2 linked regions of the Lonchura striata genome follow. The protein of the gene in region 2 interacts with the protein of the main gene of each other region in a pairwise test. Links are inferred from orthologs where the notes say so. Each region holds a gene or a part of one and is shown on either strand. Other genes may lie near its edges.

Evidence for each region. The genes of interacting proteins can lie anywhere in the genome.
Region 1: the proteins of ANKS1A (region 2) and DOK3 interact in a two-hybrid assay, tested with the Homo sapiens proteins (2 studies listed by BioGRID and IntAct). The link is inferred for Lonchura striata from reciprocal best matches to the Homo sapiens genes ANKS1A and DOK3.

The regions. Positions count from the first base shown.
Region 1 is NC_134617.1:3,219,368-3,227,063, forward strand, and holds DOK3 (docking protein 3), read right to left. Parts: upstream 4,654-7,696; coding exon 4,597-4,653; intron 3,312-4,596; coding exon 3,018-3,311; intron 2,896-3,017; coding exon 2,802-2,895; intron 2,717-2,801; coding exon 2,544-2,716; intron 2,464-2,543; coding exon 1,747-2,463; downstream 1-1,746. Other genes in the region: PDLIM7 (PDZ and LIM domain protein 7), read right to left, coding at 142-246; putative ATP-dependent RNA helicase DDX41, read right to left, coding at 5,330-5,466, 5,676-5,786, 5,894-5,965, 6,097-6,246, 6,569-6,665, 6,885-6,956, 7,131-7,262, 7,351-7,513 and 1 more. UniProt on the Homo sapiens protein: DOK proteins are enzymatically inert adaptor or scaffolding proteins. They provide a docking platform for the assembly of multimolecular signaling complexes. DOK3 is a negative regulator of JNK signaling in B-cells through interaction with INPP5D/SHIP1.
Region 2 is NC_134632.1:4,360,853-4,368,548, reverse strand, and holds the start of ANKS1A (ankyrin repeat and SAM domain-containing protein 1A), read right to left. Parts: upstream 4,207-7,696; 5' UTR 4,198-4,206; coding exon 4,001-4,197; intron 1-4,000. Other genes in the region: TAF11 (transcription initiation factor TFIID subunit 11), read left to right, coding at 4,791-4,958, 5,030-5,169, 5,303-5,390, 5,554-5,650, 6,229-6,359. UniProt on the Homo sapiens protein: Regulator of different signaling pathways. Regulates EPHA8 receptor tyrosine kinase signaling to control cell migration and neurite retraction.

The DNA.
Region 1 (7,696 bases), on a different chromosome or scaffold from region 2:
GGAGCCAGGCAGGGCAGGATGCAGCATTCCCGGGGCCCCAGCTCATCTACATCCCCCGTAGGGTTCTGCCTCAGCCACTGCGGCCTCCCGCCCACAGAGGCAGGAGGAAGGATGGGTGTCACCAGCCTCGGTTTCTCTTACCCTGGAGATGGAGAGTGGCATGCTGAAATCCTTCCCTCCCTGCAGCCTGAAGCCCCAGGGTGCCGGCCCATTCAGCATCACCTTGTAGGACTCCATGTCGCCCATCTCTGCAAGGGAAGAGGATGTGATTCCAGCGTTAGGGTATGTGGAAACAATGCAGGAAGAGCAGGCGAGGAGAAGGCTCAGTGCCTGGCAGGGTAGGACAGGAGGCAGGTCACGTTTCCAGCTGTAACTCCACCCTGATCATCCTACACTGTGGTTAGAGACGCACCCCAAATCCATCAGCATCTCCTCCAGCAACATCAGAGCTGAGGGGCCCAGGCTAACACTGACTAGTGCCAGGAAGCCAGGCACAGCCCTGCTGCCACCCACAGCGGAGTGTCTGTGGGCTCTGCTCTCTTCCCAAACCTGGGATGTGCTCTCCTTTGCAGCACCCCAGGAACTCCTGCTGCTGAGAGCCAAGGCTGTTCAGACCGCAGAGAATCAACAGCAGGTACAGAACGGTAGGAACCAGAAGCATTTTTGCCGGATGAATTAGCAGCAGCCGCAGCACAGGAGCTGCGTGATGCCACCCGAGGCGCCTGGCAGAGAAGAGGGGCTGGCGCTCCGGCAGCCGGCCGAGCAGATGCTCCCTGGGAGCGAGCCCATCTCCGGGGCTTCGGCAGGAGGGAATCCCGGCACTCCCCTGCCTGACAGCTGTCAGCCGGCCAAGGCTCCGGACAGATGGGCCAGCACCAGCCTCCCGTCACCTTTTACCTGGAAGAAGCCGCCAGACCCCTCCGAACGGCCCCAGGACCTTCCTGCCGAGGGCGGCCAGGGCCGGCGGCGGGGCTCCCCACGCCTCGCACGGGCCGGGGGCCAGCGTGCCCCCGCTCTCCCCGGGCCGGTGCGGTCTATATAAGGCGTGTAAGACGACACCAGCCCGCTCCCCGCTCGGGAGGGCCGGGGGAAGAGCTGCGTGTCAGGCATTCCCGGCGCCCGGGAGCCGCGCAAGCCCCAGCGAGGCGCCGGGACGGGGCGGGCGGAGACCCCACACCCTCCCCGACTGCACGGGGGTCCCCGGCGTGCACAGGCTGGGCAGCCCTGCTTATTGCTGGGCGGTCCCACCCTTACCCCGGGGCGCCTCGGGACCCCTCCCCATCCCACACCGCCGCCCCCCTACAGGGGCTGGGGACGCCGGCTCTGCCCCACACGGGCCCGACCCTGACCACCCGCTTTCCCGTTAAGCCAAGCCCCAGCCCTCCACCCCTCACACTCCCATCCCCCCGGCAGAGGACGGAGCCGCACGGCCCGGCTCCCCGGACTCACCCGCGGCCAGCGGGGCCCGGCGAAGCGGGCGGGAGCGGAGCGGAGCGGGCGGACGCGGGACTCGAACCCGGGCACCGCCCCCGCCCGGCCCGGCCCCACTAATATAGGACCGGGGGGAGGCGGAGCCAGCGGGCGCTTCGGCCAATCCCCGAGCGCGCCTCTGCCTGGCGGGGCGGGCGCGGCGGCGCCCCCTAGCGGGGAGGCTGGAGCTGCCCCCGCCCGCCCCCCCCGCCCCCGGCAGCAGCGGCGGAGCCGAGTCCGGGCAGGGCCTTTATTGACCGAACGGCACCGGCCACATCAAGCCCAGTCCCGCGCTCCGGGGCTCTCCCGGCTCAGCAGCCGCACCAGCTTGGCCCGAAGGGTGCTGTGAGGCTTGTGGCTGGAGCGCCCCGACAGCGCCGCCTGCCCTGCGCGCCCCCAGCCCGCGGCCCGCGGGTTCTGTGCCAGGGCGGCCCGGTTGTCATAGACGGGCCCCCCATCACTGCTGTGGCCCTCGGGGGCCTGCCGGCGCCCCAGCTCCCACTGCCCTTCCTCCTCCTCTTCCTGGGCCCCGGTTGGATGTGCTTCTGCGGTGAAGATGTTCTCGTAGAGATGCTCAGGGAGCGGCTTCCCCACGGCCCAGGGCTCCCCAGAGCCTGGCTGCCCTGACACAAAGAGGGGCTGCTGGCCCCGGGCGATGGAGGCATAGACGATGGGGCATGAGCCCTCCGGCTCTGGTGGGGTGAAGCGGAGAAGGTTGGCAGGGGGGTGGGAGGCGGGCTGTGTCCCCCCCAGGGCTGGGCTGGGCTGGGGATCATCGGTCCCAGACCCCCAGGGCTGGGGCTCAAGGCCCTGTGCAAAGAGCTGGGGCTCTGAGACACAGAAGAGTCTGGGGTCCAGGGTGTCCTTGCCCTGCTGCTGGCAGGCAATGGCAGCAGCCACAGCCCGGCAGAGCTCAGGGGCCCGTGGGGTGCTGAAGGTGAAGGTGCCCTCGCCGGAGTCACTGCGGCGGCCAGCCTCGAAGGAGAAGACAGCCTGCAGGGTCAGAGGCGAGAGTGAGGGGCTGCCACCCACCCTGGGCAGGCAACAGCCCCAAAAGGGAGTGGGGAACGCACCTGATCCTGGCCAAACTTGCGAAGGAAGGGGTAGGGCCAGGTGAGCAGAGGCTGGCGAGACTGGGGGTCCTTCAGCGTCAGGCTCTGGGGAAGGGCTGAGAGCAGGTAGTGCCCGTGCAGCCCACAGCGGGTGGCTGCGTCTGTCTGGACCACCAGCACCAAGAATTCAGTCACTGTGAGAGCCGAGCAAGCCACAGGTCAGCACCGCAGGACTGAGCTGCAGCCCACCCCAGCCCTCTCCACCACCCCTGCACGTACGGTCCTGCCAGGACGAGTAGAGGGAGTTCTCCTCCATGGGGACAGCGGGGCCAGGCTGAGTGCTGGCACTACTCGGCACTGTCTCTTTTGCACCCTGAAACAAAGAGATGTGAGTATGACCTGGGACAGGGGGTGGGGAGGACAAATCCCCTGCCTGCCCTGGAGCTTCGCAGTTCACCCAAGTAGGGCTCTGGGCTCTGCCAGACCCCTTGGTACCTGGAAAGCCAGCTGGCAGAGCTGGGTGATCCATTCATCGCGCTGCTCGGCTGCCAGCACATAGCTCTTCTCCGTGGTGGTGAGGTAGAAGGCAGCGGTGGCTTTGGGGCAGCTCTCTGTGCCCGCCGGGCCCACAGAGACGCAGTCAGAGAGGCGGATCACCCGGCGGGCACACCGCTGCAGGGATGTCTTCTCTGGCATCGTGCCATCATCCCGCACATCAAACTTCTCCATGCGGGCCACGCCGGACGGGCTGGCAGCGAACAGCTGGGCTCTCATCTTCCTCCAGGACCTCTAATGCATGGAAAGGGCAAAGCAGGGAAAAAATGGATCAGTGAAGAGCTGGCTGCTGCATCTGGCAGCACTGCCCTCCATACAGGGCATGAGGGGCATTGGGGAGTCCTGGCCTGCACCCACCAGATGCTGTTGGAGGGCACAGAGAACAGGGGCCAGCACAGACCCCTGAACTGTGGGGCAGGGCAGGCACAAAGCTGGGCAGAGGGGCGCCTTGCCCCGAGCAGGCTTGGCATGGCTCACTGGGTGAGTCACACTCACTCCTGGCTCCCTGAGCACCAGGTCCTGCTCTTTGTTCCCTGCTGCAAGTGCTGGCCTGCCGACCTATAGCTGAGCTCTCGAGCTGTTCTCAGGACAGACCCTGATGCAAATTAAAGCCATTTTGAGCTGCTAAGGCTCCTGTTGGCAGCTTCACATCTGCTCAGCAGCCTGCTTCCTCCCAGGGGAGCATCTGTAGCACCAGCACCTTCCCAGTCTGTCATGGGATAGCGGGGGCGCGTGCCACCATGTACCTCAAAAGTGCAGCAGAGCCTCCGCCCTGCAGGAACCACATGCAGCCAAGCACCCAAAATACCCACCACCCCCAGCCCACCTGCCTCCTACATGGCAGGGCACCAGCTCTTCACACACACGGCTGCCTGCTGCACTTTCAGGGCTTGGTTCTTCTTCAGCAGGGAGGTCAGAGTGCGATTGCAGCCCCACACATCCACTGAGACCCCCACAGGACATGGCCACCCTGCCATGGCGTGACCAGTGTGCCGGCAGAACCTACTTTGCCAACACCCAACTGCTCTCTGGAGCTGGCCCGACCCCAGGTACTCTCACCATGTCACCCATACCCTGCCCCAAGAGCTGCAGCACTCAGTGCCCCTTCCAAAAGCACAGAGAAGCAGCCCAAGCCATGAGGGTGTTGCTGTATGGCACTGGCCCCACAGGGCCAGGCCGATGGAGGTCACAGGGACACGTCCCACGTGCTGGCCCAGGGTCCTGCTCACACACACACACACAGATGCTGAAGCTGCGCCATATTAACACGTTTATTCTTCCATTGAGACTCTCGTGGTGACCAAGCAAGAAGAACCCAACACACACGTGAGCCAGAGTGGGTGCCCACACAGATGAGTCCCCTCAGCCCCACGGGAAAACCCCACTTATGGGGCTGCTGAGCCCAGGGCTCCCCCACTGCTGCAGTTGCCCCTTCTCAGGCTGCTAAGGGCCCAGCCCCAGGCCCAGCATCATGTCAAATCAGAGCAAACCCTCTACCAACCCCAAATCCACCCTTTACCTTTCCAAATTTGGTGTGCTGCACATAAAGGATCCCATCCTTCACTGGTCTCTCCATGGGCCGAGTTCACCTGGGCAGCCAGCGCAAGGATAAGGGACTCAGGCTACCCGCAGCAGAGAAAATGTGACTGCTGCAGTCGAAGGAAAGGCATGGGGCAGACTTCCGTCTCTGAGAGACTTCCCCTTTTTGGGGTGTGGGATGGGGGGCAGAGGCTGGGCTGCAGGAGGTGTCCGTGTGCCTGTCCCTCCCCCTCACAGCAGGGCAGTGGGGCAGAACGCGGGGGCAGAGCACAGGAAGCACCTCGGGGAGTGCCTGACATGAGCACAGCATGCTCCACCTCACCCTGGCTGCATCCTCCCAGCATGTCTGGGGAGACAGGAACAGCCACCTGAGAATGCACAAATCCAGGTGAGGGAGATGGGCCCAGAGAAACTGGGTGGATTTGTGAGGAGCAACACAAGACCATGACCTCACCACTTCAGGGGGCTGGCAGAGGCAGCAGACCAGTGGCCCCACCTGGGGCTTTCCCTTGCCCTGAGGCACTGCTACCTGCTTGCCCAACACACCGCTGATGTAATGGGCTGTTGCAGCACAGCTCCATACATTTCCTGCAGGGCCTGAGCTGGCAAAGTCCCAGTGACCAAAATTCTAGAAATGGGGCCACAGCAGTACAAGACAGGCCCCTAGGCTGAAAGGAAGCCCAGGCCCACCCAGGGGCAGCACATTGTCCAGGCTAGAAGTCCATAGAGCTGTGGGCCAGGTAGTCCTTGCGGCCGATGTTGCTGACTTGCTTGGTCTGCATGGCCTCCAGCTTGGGGCAGTCGGTGATGCGATGGCCCAGGCCACCACAGAAGGCACAGCCCCGCTCACCTGCAATGGGAGGGATGGGGTCAGGGCCAGGACAATGCCACGCCAGGGCAGCACAGTGCCACACCAGGACAGCAGCCCCCACCCCAGAGCAAAGGGGCTACACCAGTGTCTTCCCAATGCTGTGGCACTGGGAGCTGGAGGGTCCCGTCTGGAGCCCAGGTTTTGCAGCAGCCCCACAGGGGTCCCTGTGTCAGCCTGGGGTCTCTCACCATTGATGTCCAGCATGGTCTCGTCCCCACAGTGCAGCACCTGGAGCACCGGTGGCACCTTTTGCTTCGCCTCCAGGAGCAGAGCCTTCAGGTCCATCAGCACTGACTCATCTGGGGGCACAGACACAGGTCAGGCAAAGCCATTCTGCTTGCTCAGAACACCCCCCTGGCACTGCCCAGCTGCCTCCTCCAGCCCCTAGCCCCGTGCTGTTCCTCACCACAGGCCTTGTTGATGAAGGTGGTGGCAATGCCAGTGTTGCCTGAACGGCCTGTACGCCCGATGCGGTGAACTGCAGAGACAGGGACAGGATCAGCCCCGGGTGAGCACAGTGGGACAGAGCATCCCTGTCCCAAGACACTGCAGAGACAGGCACAGAGCCTTGCTGGCCTCCAGAGCCCTCCCACAAGGCCCAGTGCCTACCATAGTTCTCAATCTCCTCTGGCATGTCGTAGTTGATGACGTGCTGGATGGCTGGGAAATCCAGGCCCTTGGAAGCGACATCAGTGGCAACCAGGACATCCTTCTTCCCATCCCGGAAGGCCTCAATGGCTTTTGTCCGTTCTTCCTGATCTGCAAAGGCCCAGCAGAGATCAGCCATGGCAGAGCTCCCAGCCCTACCTACTGCAGCAAACACTGTGGCCTCAGAGTCAAGCATCACTTCCTCAGGCTGCCTTTCTCCCAGTGAGGGAGCAGAGGGGCCTCCACATCCCATAGGGATCTGCACTGTGTTTATGCCTGCTATGTACACCGTGGAGCTCACTCCTGACACTGTCACAGCCCTTCCTCACACCATCAACAACTGCTCCAGGCTGGGACCTTCTGTGGCCACACACAATTCTGGCAGGAGTGGGGTCACACCAGGAACCCAGGCCTCTCTGGGACCCTCACTGACCTTTCCCTCCGTGGATGGCCACAGCTTCCACACCCTTGAGCAGCAGGTACTCGTGGATTGCATCAACATCTGCCTTCTTCTCTGCGAAGATCAGCACCTGCAGCAGCACAGGCATTGTCTCAGAGCCCCTTCTGCAGGCTGGCACTGCTGGCACCAGCACAGCCCCCGGGGGAAGCCCACTCCCTCTTGCTGAGCAGAGCACACAGCACTGCTGATCCCCAGCATGGCTCAGTCACAGGCCCACTCCGCACAGGGGGTCCCTCCTCCCAACTCCCCCCACACCCCAGCATGACCACACTGTCCCCAGCATACTCACAGGTGGAGGGGTCTTCTGCAGGCACTCCAGCAGGTACACCATCTTGGCCTCCTCTTTCACGTACTCCACTTCCTAGAAACAAGCAGAGACATGGGTCAGGCAGCAGAGGAACTGCCACTGCTTGGTACCCCTTAACTGGGAAGGAGGGCCATGAATTCCAGCTCCCTGGCAGAGAAAGAAATTAAGTGCCCTCATGAATGTTTCTGGTCTCCCACACAGGCACGAGGAAGCACCCAAACACCTCACCTGCACAACATCCAGGCTGGCAGCACCCGCTCGCCCAACGTTAATGGTGATGGGCTTCACCAGGGCACTCTTGGCGAAGTTCTGGATTTTCTTGGGCATTGTGGCACTGAAGAGGAGGGTTTGCCGCTGGCCCTGCACAGGGAAAAAGCCTTTAGTACTCACCCAATCTGGCATATGCAGGACTGAGCTTCAGGGTGCTCCTACCGTGGCAGTTCAGTACCTTGAAGTAGGAGAAGATGGTACGGATGTCCCCCTCAAAGCCCATATCGATCATCCTGTCAGCCTCATCCAAGGCCAGGTACCGGCAGATGTCCAGGCTCACCATCTTCTTCTGCAGCAGGTCCATCAGGCGCCCAGGGGTTGCCACCATCATGTGTACCCCACTGTGGGGTGAGAGGAGGCCACAGTCAGTCCCTCAGCATTCCTGCTCCATGCAGGACACCTCCCTGGCACACCATTTTCCCCCTGACAGTGTCCTGAAGCCAGGGTGACACTCCTTAGCCCCTGCCAGAAAACAGAGCAGCTCCAGCCCCACAGACTCCCCCAGGTCTTACTGTTTGATGGTC
Region 2 (7,696 bases):
AGCCTTTGAATTCTTAAAGAAGTACTTAGGAAACAATTCCCAGCACAAGCACCTTCAGCAATCCCTGTGCTCAGGTGTGTAATTAAAGAGGGTTCAGTCCCACAGCGCCGTGTGCACGGGAGGGTGTGGAGAAGGTTTAAAGTGGGTGAGATGATTAATCACAGCAGCAGGATGAGGGGGAGACCCAGCATTGCCCTGTTCTGCGGGAATGCAGCAGGAGCAGCTCCTTTGTGATGGGGAAAGGCAAGAGAGGGAAGCACCTTGCTTGCACAAGGCTGGGTTAGCTGGACCTTGGAGCCCCCCGGTGATCCTGCTGCTGTCTCTGCCGGACACTGCAGGACTCACTGTGTGCTCACCCACACGGCCTGGGGACACCTGGAGGGACAGACAGACAGCCCGGCCCTGACCTCGGACAGGGCAATCCCCCCCTTCCCCAGGGGGAAATCCTTGGCACCGTGTGCCTTCCCCGGGGAATGGCAGCAGACAGGCACAGTCGGAGCCTTCCCCAGGAGGCACCATCAGATCCCTGCTGTGAACCATCAGCAGCACCAGAACAAATAGCAAACCCCACTTTTAAATTTTTTCTGATTCCTAACCACCCTTGGACTGTTGGAAGCCACCTCAAGTGTTCTGCCATCCTGCCACATCACTCTTTAAACCAACCAGACCCCCTCACCAGCAGCAACAGCTGAAAATGGGCTGGAGCAAGGGTTGTGGCTTCTCTGGAGCAGCACTCGACCCTTCCCACAATAGACGTGCACCCAAACTCCTCATCCCCAGCAGAAGCATCTCCCTGATACGCTCCCTGGGGACTGCATATCCCATCTGGGGCTCAGCAGCAGCCTCAGCTTCCCCCTCTGGCAACACAGATCCAGACTTTTCACAGCAATAGATGGAAATAAAAAGCTGCTTCTGCAGCTTTGGCTTTAACACAACCCATCCCTCATTGCTCCTGGCAAAACCTCCTGAATGCAGCCTGATAGCTCAGCCACAGACTGTTTTGTTGTTTCCCACCCCTAACTTCACAGTAAACCACTAAAAAAAAAAAACCACAATACATCAAATTCTGCAGCCTCGATGCAGAAGTGGCTCATAACCCCAAGGAACCTCAAGGATTCACAGACCATCTCTGATTTCTGGACTTGCTGTTGCTCTTAAGCCTCAAGCTGTGCATGCACAGAGTGGGTTTTCTCTCTGGCTCCTCACACGGAGCTCCTGCCTGTGCCACGGTCCATGGCTGGAACCGGAGAAGCCGGGCCTGGCCAGGGAGCCAGGACCTGCTCCCACTGCTGGGCCAGGCCTGCAGCAGCTCCCCAGGCCCTGGCAGATCCCAGGGGCTGCGTGGACGCCAGCAGGGAGCCGAGCCTTCCAAAGCCTGGCAGCCATCACCTCTTTGTGAGCCCACCATCTGCTCTGGCAGATCCACACTCCCATTTCCCCCTCCTGCATCCTCCTCGTTTCCCCAGCTCTCTGTCAGCACTCCCCATTCCCATCAGCTTCCCATCAGGATTTATTCTCCTGCCCAGTGCCCTGAGTGTTGCACCTGGCACATTCACCCCTCCAGAGACTTAAATTGTCTTTGGAGCTCCTCCTCCTGTGGATTACCCCACTCCATCCCATTCTGTTTCCTGCTCACCTGCAGCCATAGGTGATTGGAATCTGTGCTGCCTCCACACCCAGCGGGCCCTGCTCAGCCTGGGAAGGAGCAGCACAGCCCAGACTGTGACAAAGTTCACATTTAACTGATAACAGACCAATGGCAATTCAGGTTACCTGATAAAACACCACATTGCAAGGAATTTACTGCCAGGGCCATCTTCTACCACTTCATGGAGCAGCACTTGCTCTCTTTGGAAGAGAAATGGCCCAAACCAGTGAGTGCCAGCTCAGAGCAGGTGCCAGCACAGCATGTACCAGGTGTAATGTGGGAATTCCAGGGAATGCCTGGTTTGTACCCCATCCAAAACTATATCTTTGAGACACTGGAAAGGCAGAACTGACAAAAAGAGCTGCAACAGGCACCTCAGGAGAGAAGAGCTTTGGGAGCAGGTTATCCAAACAGTGGGACTTAAACAGAAACTAAAATAGGGTCCTGAAATCAGGCAGAGAAAAGAACAAAGGTAGCAGCCCAGCAGAGTGTTTATGTTCCTGCTCTGGGAGTGGAGAGCAGCTCAGCAGCTCCTGTGTCAGGAGAGATCCTTACGGACACGAGGAGCCTTGGCAGGAGCAGGGATCAGCCTGAGCAGGGTCACGGGCTGCCCAAGGAAGGGAAAACACAGAGCACACAGGCCTGACTGAGGGCAGGCTTCTCCCCACAACCAAGGAGGGCAAAATCCTACATCAGAAAAGTTCCCATGTTCTAGCATTGGAAAAGGTGATGTTTTCTCCACCCTAAAATTCATCTGTCTGGTCCCTGCAGCCTGTCCCAGCCTGTCTCCTGCACTCCCTGGCCTCTCCTTGCAGGGACACTCAGCAGCTGCTTCTCATCAAAACCTCACCACGAGCTGGAGGAGTCCATAACAGAGCCAGAGCCCAGCAAGTGCTCGGGAGGTGGGAAACAGTCACAAAGCTCCTAAATAGCACCAGGTGGCAAACAGGACACGTTGCCATGCCCCACAGTGTGCAGCCAGACCAGGAACTGCTGTCACAGGCACAAATCCCAGCTGTACAGAGAAAGGGGCAGGTCCAGTGTCACCAGCAGCTACAGCCATGGTTGTGAGCATGGAAAACGAGTGACAGCTGTGACAGGCACCCTCCTTCAGGCTGTGCACGAAGCAGTGTCCACATGTGAGAAACAGTAACAGGTCAGAGCCAAAGGGACAGCCGGGCTCACTCTGGCACCACGGGACTGCTCCAGGACCATGGCACCACGGGCACTGTCCAGGAAAAGGCAGAAAAAGGCCCCATCGTGCCCAGGTGCTGTTGGGCACTGGCGGATCTGGTTCAGCTCACAGGGTGTTCAACTGCACTGAGCCACTGCACTGATCTGAGGCCCCTGTGGGCACATCCATCCCACTCCAACAAGGGCTCAGACTGTTTAATGTAGCAAAAGAGAAGAACAAAGCTCGACCCAAGGGTAGATTTACGTTTCAGAAAGGCAAACGTGTGCCCCAGGGCAGGGTGAGCTCTCGCATGCCTGCAAGCTTCTGCCACCAGCACAACCTGCAGGGATCCAACTGGTTTATGTGAAAGGAAAAACAGATGAAATTTGGCCAAAAAGGGGCAAGTCACATCTCTCTGAACAGCCAGGTTGTGTAGCAACAGTATCACTTGGCACTGGACACAAACCTCCTCCACACCTCCCGTACAAACCAACTGCTCAGGGACCAGGAGCATTCCCAAAGTGCCCAAAGCTGCAGCTCCAGCAGCGAGAGGTGATGCCAAAACACGAGGAAGAGAAACAAAAGTCCAAGAGCTTCAACCAGCAAATTCCACAGCATGGGGCTGAGGACGAGCCGAGCCCAGGCACGACAGAGTGTCACCGCCAGCCGCGACAATGCCAGCGCAGGGCCGGGACACCTCGCGAAAGTCATCCCGCAGCTCTGGCAGTGCGGGAGCCTCCCCGGGCACACCGCAGCTCCCAGCGCCGCAGCGGCTGGTGCCAGGGGGGACGGGCAGCACCCAGCGCTGGCACTGCCGGCTGCAGACAGCTCGAAAGTCACCCACTCCCCTCTCCGGAGGGCACAGCAGCCCGAGGAGCTCCCTCTGGCACGGCCCCCCGGCATCACCGGCCCCACCAAACGCTCAGGGGTGCGCAGCTCCCACGCCCCGCTGCAGTGTCCCGTCCCAGCCGGGGAGCAGAGCGGGGACAGACCCCGGCCTGCCCCGCAGCGCTGCGGCCCCAGCAGCCCCCTCGCTGCACCCCAAGATCCAAACCCCCCAGACGCCCCCAGCCCCACACACGCCACCCGCGGCTCCCGCTGCCCTCCCGGCCCGCAGCGCCGCAGCCAGCGGCAGCAGCCCCCGCCGGGCCGCGGATCCGTCCCCGGGCCGCGCTCACCTCAGCAGGCTGGACAGCGGGTGCCCCACACCGCCGCTCCCGCCGCTCCCGCCGCCGCCTCCCCCCGCCGAGCCGCCGCCGCCGCCCCCGCCGGAGCCGCCGAAGCCGGAGCTGAGGCGCTTCCCCGAGAGCAGCTTCTCCACGGCCGGGAGGTTCCCGGTGCGGGCGGCCTCCAGCAGCTCCTGCTCCTTCCCCATGGCCGGCGCGGCCCCGCCGCCCGCGCGACTTCCGGGGCGGGGCCGGGGCGGGCCGGGGCGGGGCCTCGGAGGGCGCGGCCCGACGGGCGGGGTTTGATGGATGGGCGGTGCGGGGGCGGGGAGCTGTAACGGCCACGCCCCCCGCGGTGCCCGCCGTGCCTCGGCCGCGCCCGTTTCGGGCGGCTCTGGGGAGTTTTCCCCGCGGGGCCGCCCTAGCGCCGTGTCCCGGCAGGGTCCAGGCGTGCGGAGGGCGGCTCGGAGCGGGGTTGGTCGGTCCGGGCGCGCAGAGCCCGGGGGTGAGGCCCGCACGGGGCCCCCTCCGCAGCCCCGCTGCCATGGCGACAAGCCCGGCCCCGCGCGTCATTAAGCTGCGCTGCCGAGTCGCTGTTGCCGCGGCAACAGGCACCGCCCTCGTTGTCATCGGGACGCGCTGTCGCACCTCCGTTGCCATGACTACAGACGCCGTGCCCCCCCGCCTCGCCGGTGCGCGTGCGTCATCACGAGGCGCCCCGCGTCACGTTCCCGTGGCGATAGGCCCCGCCCCTCGCGGCGCCCGCAGTGTTTCGTCATCAGGAGGCGCCGCGGGCGCGGCCATGGCGGACCCGGCCCGGGACGCGCTCGGTGCCGCCGCCGCTGTGCCGGAGCCGCCGCCCGCAGCCGCCTCCCCGCCCGAAGCGGCGGCCGCAGAGGCGGCGGGAGAAGGCGAGGTGCGGGAGGCTGGCGGCGGCAGCGAGCTGAAGGCGGAGGTGGCGGACGGGGAGGTGAGGCGGGAGCGGGAGCGGGGCCGGGGCGGGCGGCGGGGCCGCAGAACGAGCGCTGCGCTCCCGCCCAGGTGAGGAGCGCGGAGGGGGAGGCGGCGGACGCGGAGGAGCCGGGGCTGCAGGCGGGTGCGGCCCGGAAGGTGAAGCTGGAGCTGAAGGAGCGGAAGGAGAAGAAGCAGAAAGTGGACGAGGACGAGATCCAGAAGATGCAGTGAGTGCCTGCGGGTTCGGGAATCGTGGCCCCGGTGCCGCAGCCCCCTCCAGATCCCCCTCCCCGCCTTCCAGCCCGGCGCTCCCCGCTCCGGCCTCCGCGGGGCTGGGAGCGATCGCTGCGTGCCCCGCAGGATCCTGGTCTCCTCCTTCTCCGAGGAGCAGCTGAACCGCTACGAGATGTACCGGCGCTCTGCCTTCCCCAAGGCTGCCATCAAACGGGTACGAGAGCGGCCGGAGCCCCGGCGGGGCTGGGCCACGGCCGGTCCCGGGGGGCTCCAGCTCCAATCCCCGCAGCGGGAGCTGGGGCCGCGGCTCCCCGAGGGGCTGGATGGGCTGGGAGGTCACGGGGGTGGGGATCTGACTGTCCCTGTCCCTGTCCCAGCTCATCCAGTCCATCACCGGCACCTCCGTGTCCCAGAACGTCGTCATTGCCATGTCGGGCATCTCCAAGGTGTTTGTTGGGGAGGTGGTGGAAGAAGGTGAGTGGCACCTTGCTGAGAGGCTAGGGTGAATTCCCTGCTTGGAGCAGGGTGTGGAACAGGATTTTCATGGTTCTCCAGCAGCTCTGGCTCACAGCAGAAGCTGCCACAGCCCCTCTGATCCCCCAGCACTGCTGCTTCTCCTCAGGAAGAGAAGCTGGGCTGGCAACTCCGTCCCTCAGCCCCAGAGCAGCTGCATGATGGGGATGCCATTAGTGCTGCAGGGACAGAGTGGCTCCAAAGCCTCTAGACCTGCCCCAGTTCCTTTGTGGGATGAGCTCAGATCAGTTTGGGACAGGGAGCTGAGCCTGCTCTTTCTGCTCAGCTGTTGGGGCTCACAGCCCACCCACCCCCAGAGGCTCTGAGCTCCTCCACCCCCTCCACAGTTCCTGAGGGGTTCAGCAGCTTTTTGTCCTGCCTGCTGCCCTGGGACTCCTGTCAGGGAGGAGGAGCTGGTGCAAACCCCAAGCACAAACATTTCCTGTTCCTTCCCAACTGCACTGAAGCAGCAGCAGGGGCTGGGCAGAGCTCAGCTGGCCCCTGCCCTGACCTGTGTGTCTGTCTGTCTATCTGTCCAGCTTTGGATGTGTGTGAGAAGTGGGGGGAGCTGCCCCCCCTGCAGCCCAAGCACATGAGGGAGGCTGTCCGGAGGCTCAAGGCACGGGGGCAAATCCCCAACTCCAAGTACAAAAAGATCATTTTCCACTGAGAGAGGCTGAGATAAGCTTCCTGTAGGACCTTCCCACGTGGACTCTTCCCTAAGGCCCTTTTGGGGTGACCTGTGGGACCTCAAGGATGTTCCTGCTGTCCCTGCCTGTGCTGGGCAGAGCCTGGATGCACCCTTGACCTGGACTTTGGGGAGAGCAACATCCAGGGGCTGCAGAGCATTTTCTGCTGGCCCAGATGTGCCATCTGTGCCCAGATGTGTGGGTTTTCTTTTCAGTGCATTAAACTTATTCTTGTGTTCATAACCAGGCTGGGATCTGCTCTTTGTGTGACCCAAGGTGCTCCCAGAGCTGATTCCCTGGGAACATCTGAAATCAGGGTTCAGCTGTGCTTCCAAATCCAGAAGCTGCCCAAAAAACAGCAGCAGTGGGAAGAGAGGGGGAGGGAAAAGCAGGAAAAGAGGCCAGAGCCTGGAAGGAGGTTAATGAGTTTAATTCTGCTCGTGGTTCATAGAACCAATAAACCCATCAGTGGAAACAAACTGCAGCAAAGTTGCAATACTGCCTAAAATTCAAATTCAAGTTCAGACTTGCACATTGCCCCTGTCCCCTTCCAGGGGCCCTGGGAGCTGCTCCTGACCCTGTGAGAGGTGCTGAGACCACGTGCTCTCCCATGGCACCTGTGGGCTCTCACTGGAACAGAGGAAGAATCCTTAAATAAGAGGCTCCACAAAGTAAACTTTGATATTTACAATCTGTGGGGACCCAGGAGGTTTTGTCCTCCCACACGTGTGGGTTTTGGGTTACACTCCTTTTTACTGGGTCTTCAAAGCAAAGGAAATGCTTGAATTCTTCAACAAAACCCATTGACTGAAGTAGCTGGAGCAAGGAATTTGCTGTAAACAACCTGGCCCCAGCTCTGCTCAGCCTGCACACGTGGGAGGAGCTGTGGGACCCTGCAGCGTGGGCAAACCCTTGGCATACCCTTCCCATACTTACACAAAATGTCATGAAAATTTGAAAAAGCAGAAGAGAGAAACCTCCCATTTCCAAGCAATTAATGAAGAAAAAGCAGGAATACCGTGGCATTCCACCTCAGGCAAGCAGTTCTCAGAGCTCTTGCTCCCCACAGGCAGAGAGAGCAGCACAAAGGTTTGGTGAAACAAAATCCAGCTTCTGCTCTGGGCAGTTTCCAGCAGTGCTCACAGGGAGCTGCTCCACACTGGGGTGTTCCAGTGTTTTCCTTTTGGCATCAGGGCTAGCACGTGCAGCCCCTCAGCCCTGCTGAAAGGTTCCAGCCAGTGCTGAAAACTCCACAGCTCCTTCCTCAGCAGCCACGGCTGCTCCTCCTCCTCCCCACCGGGGAACTCGGGCACACAAA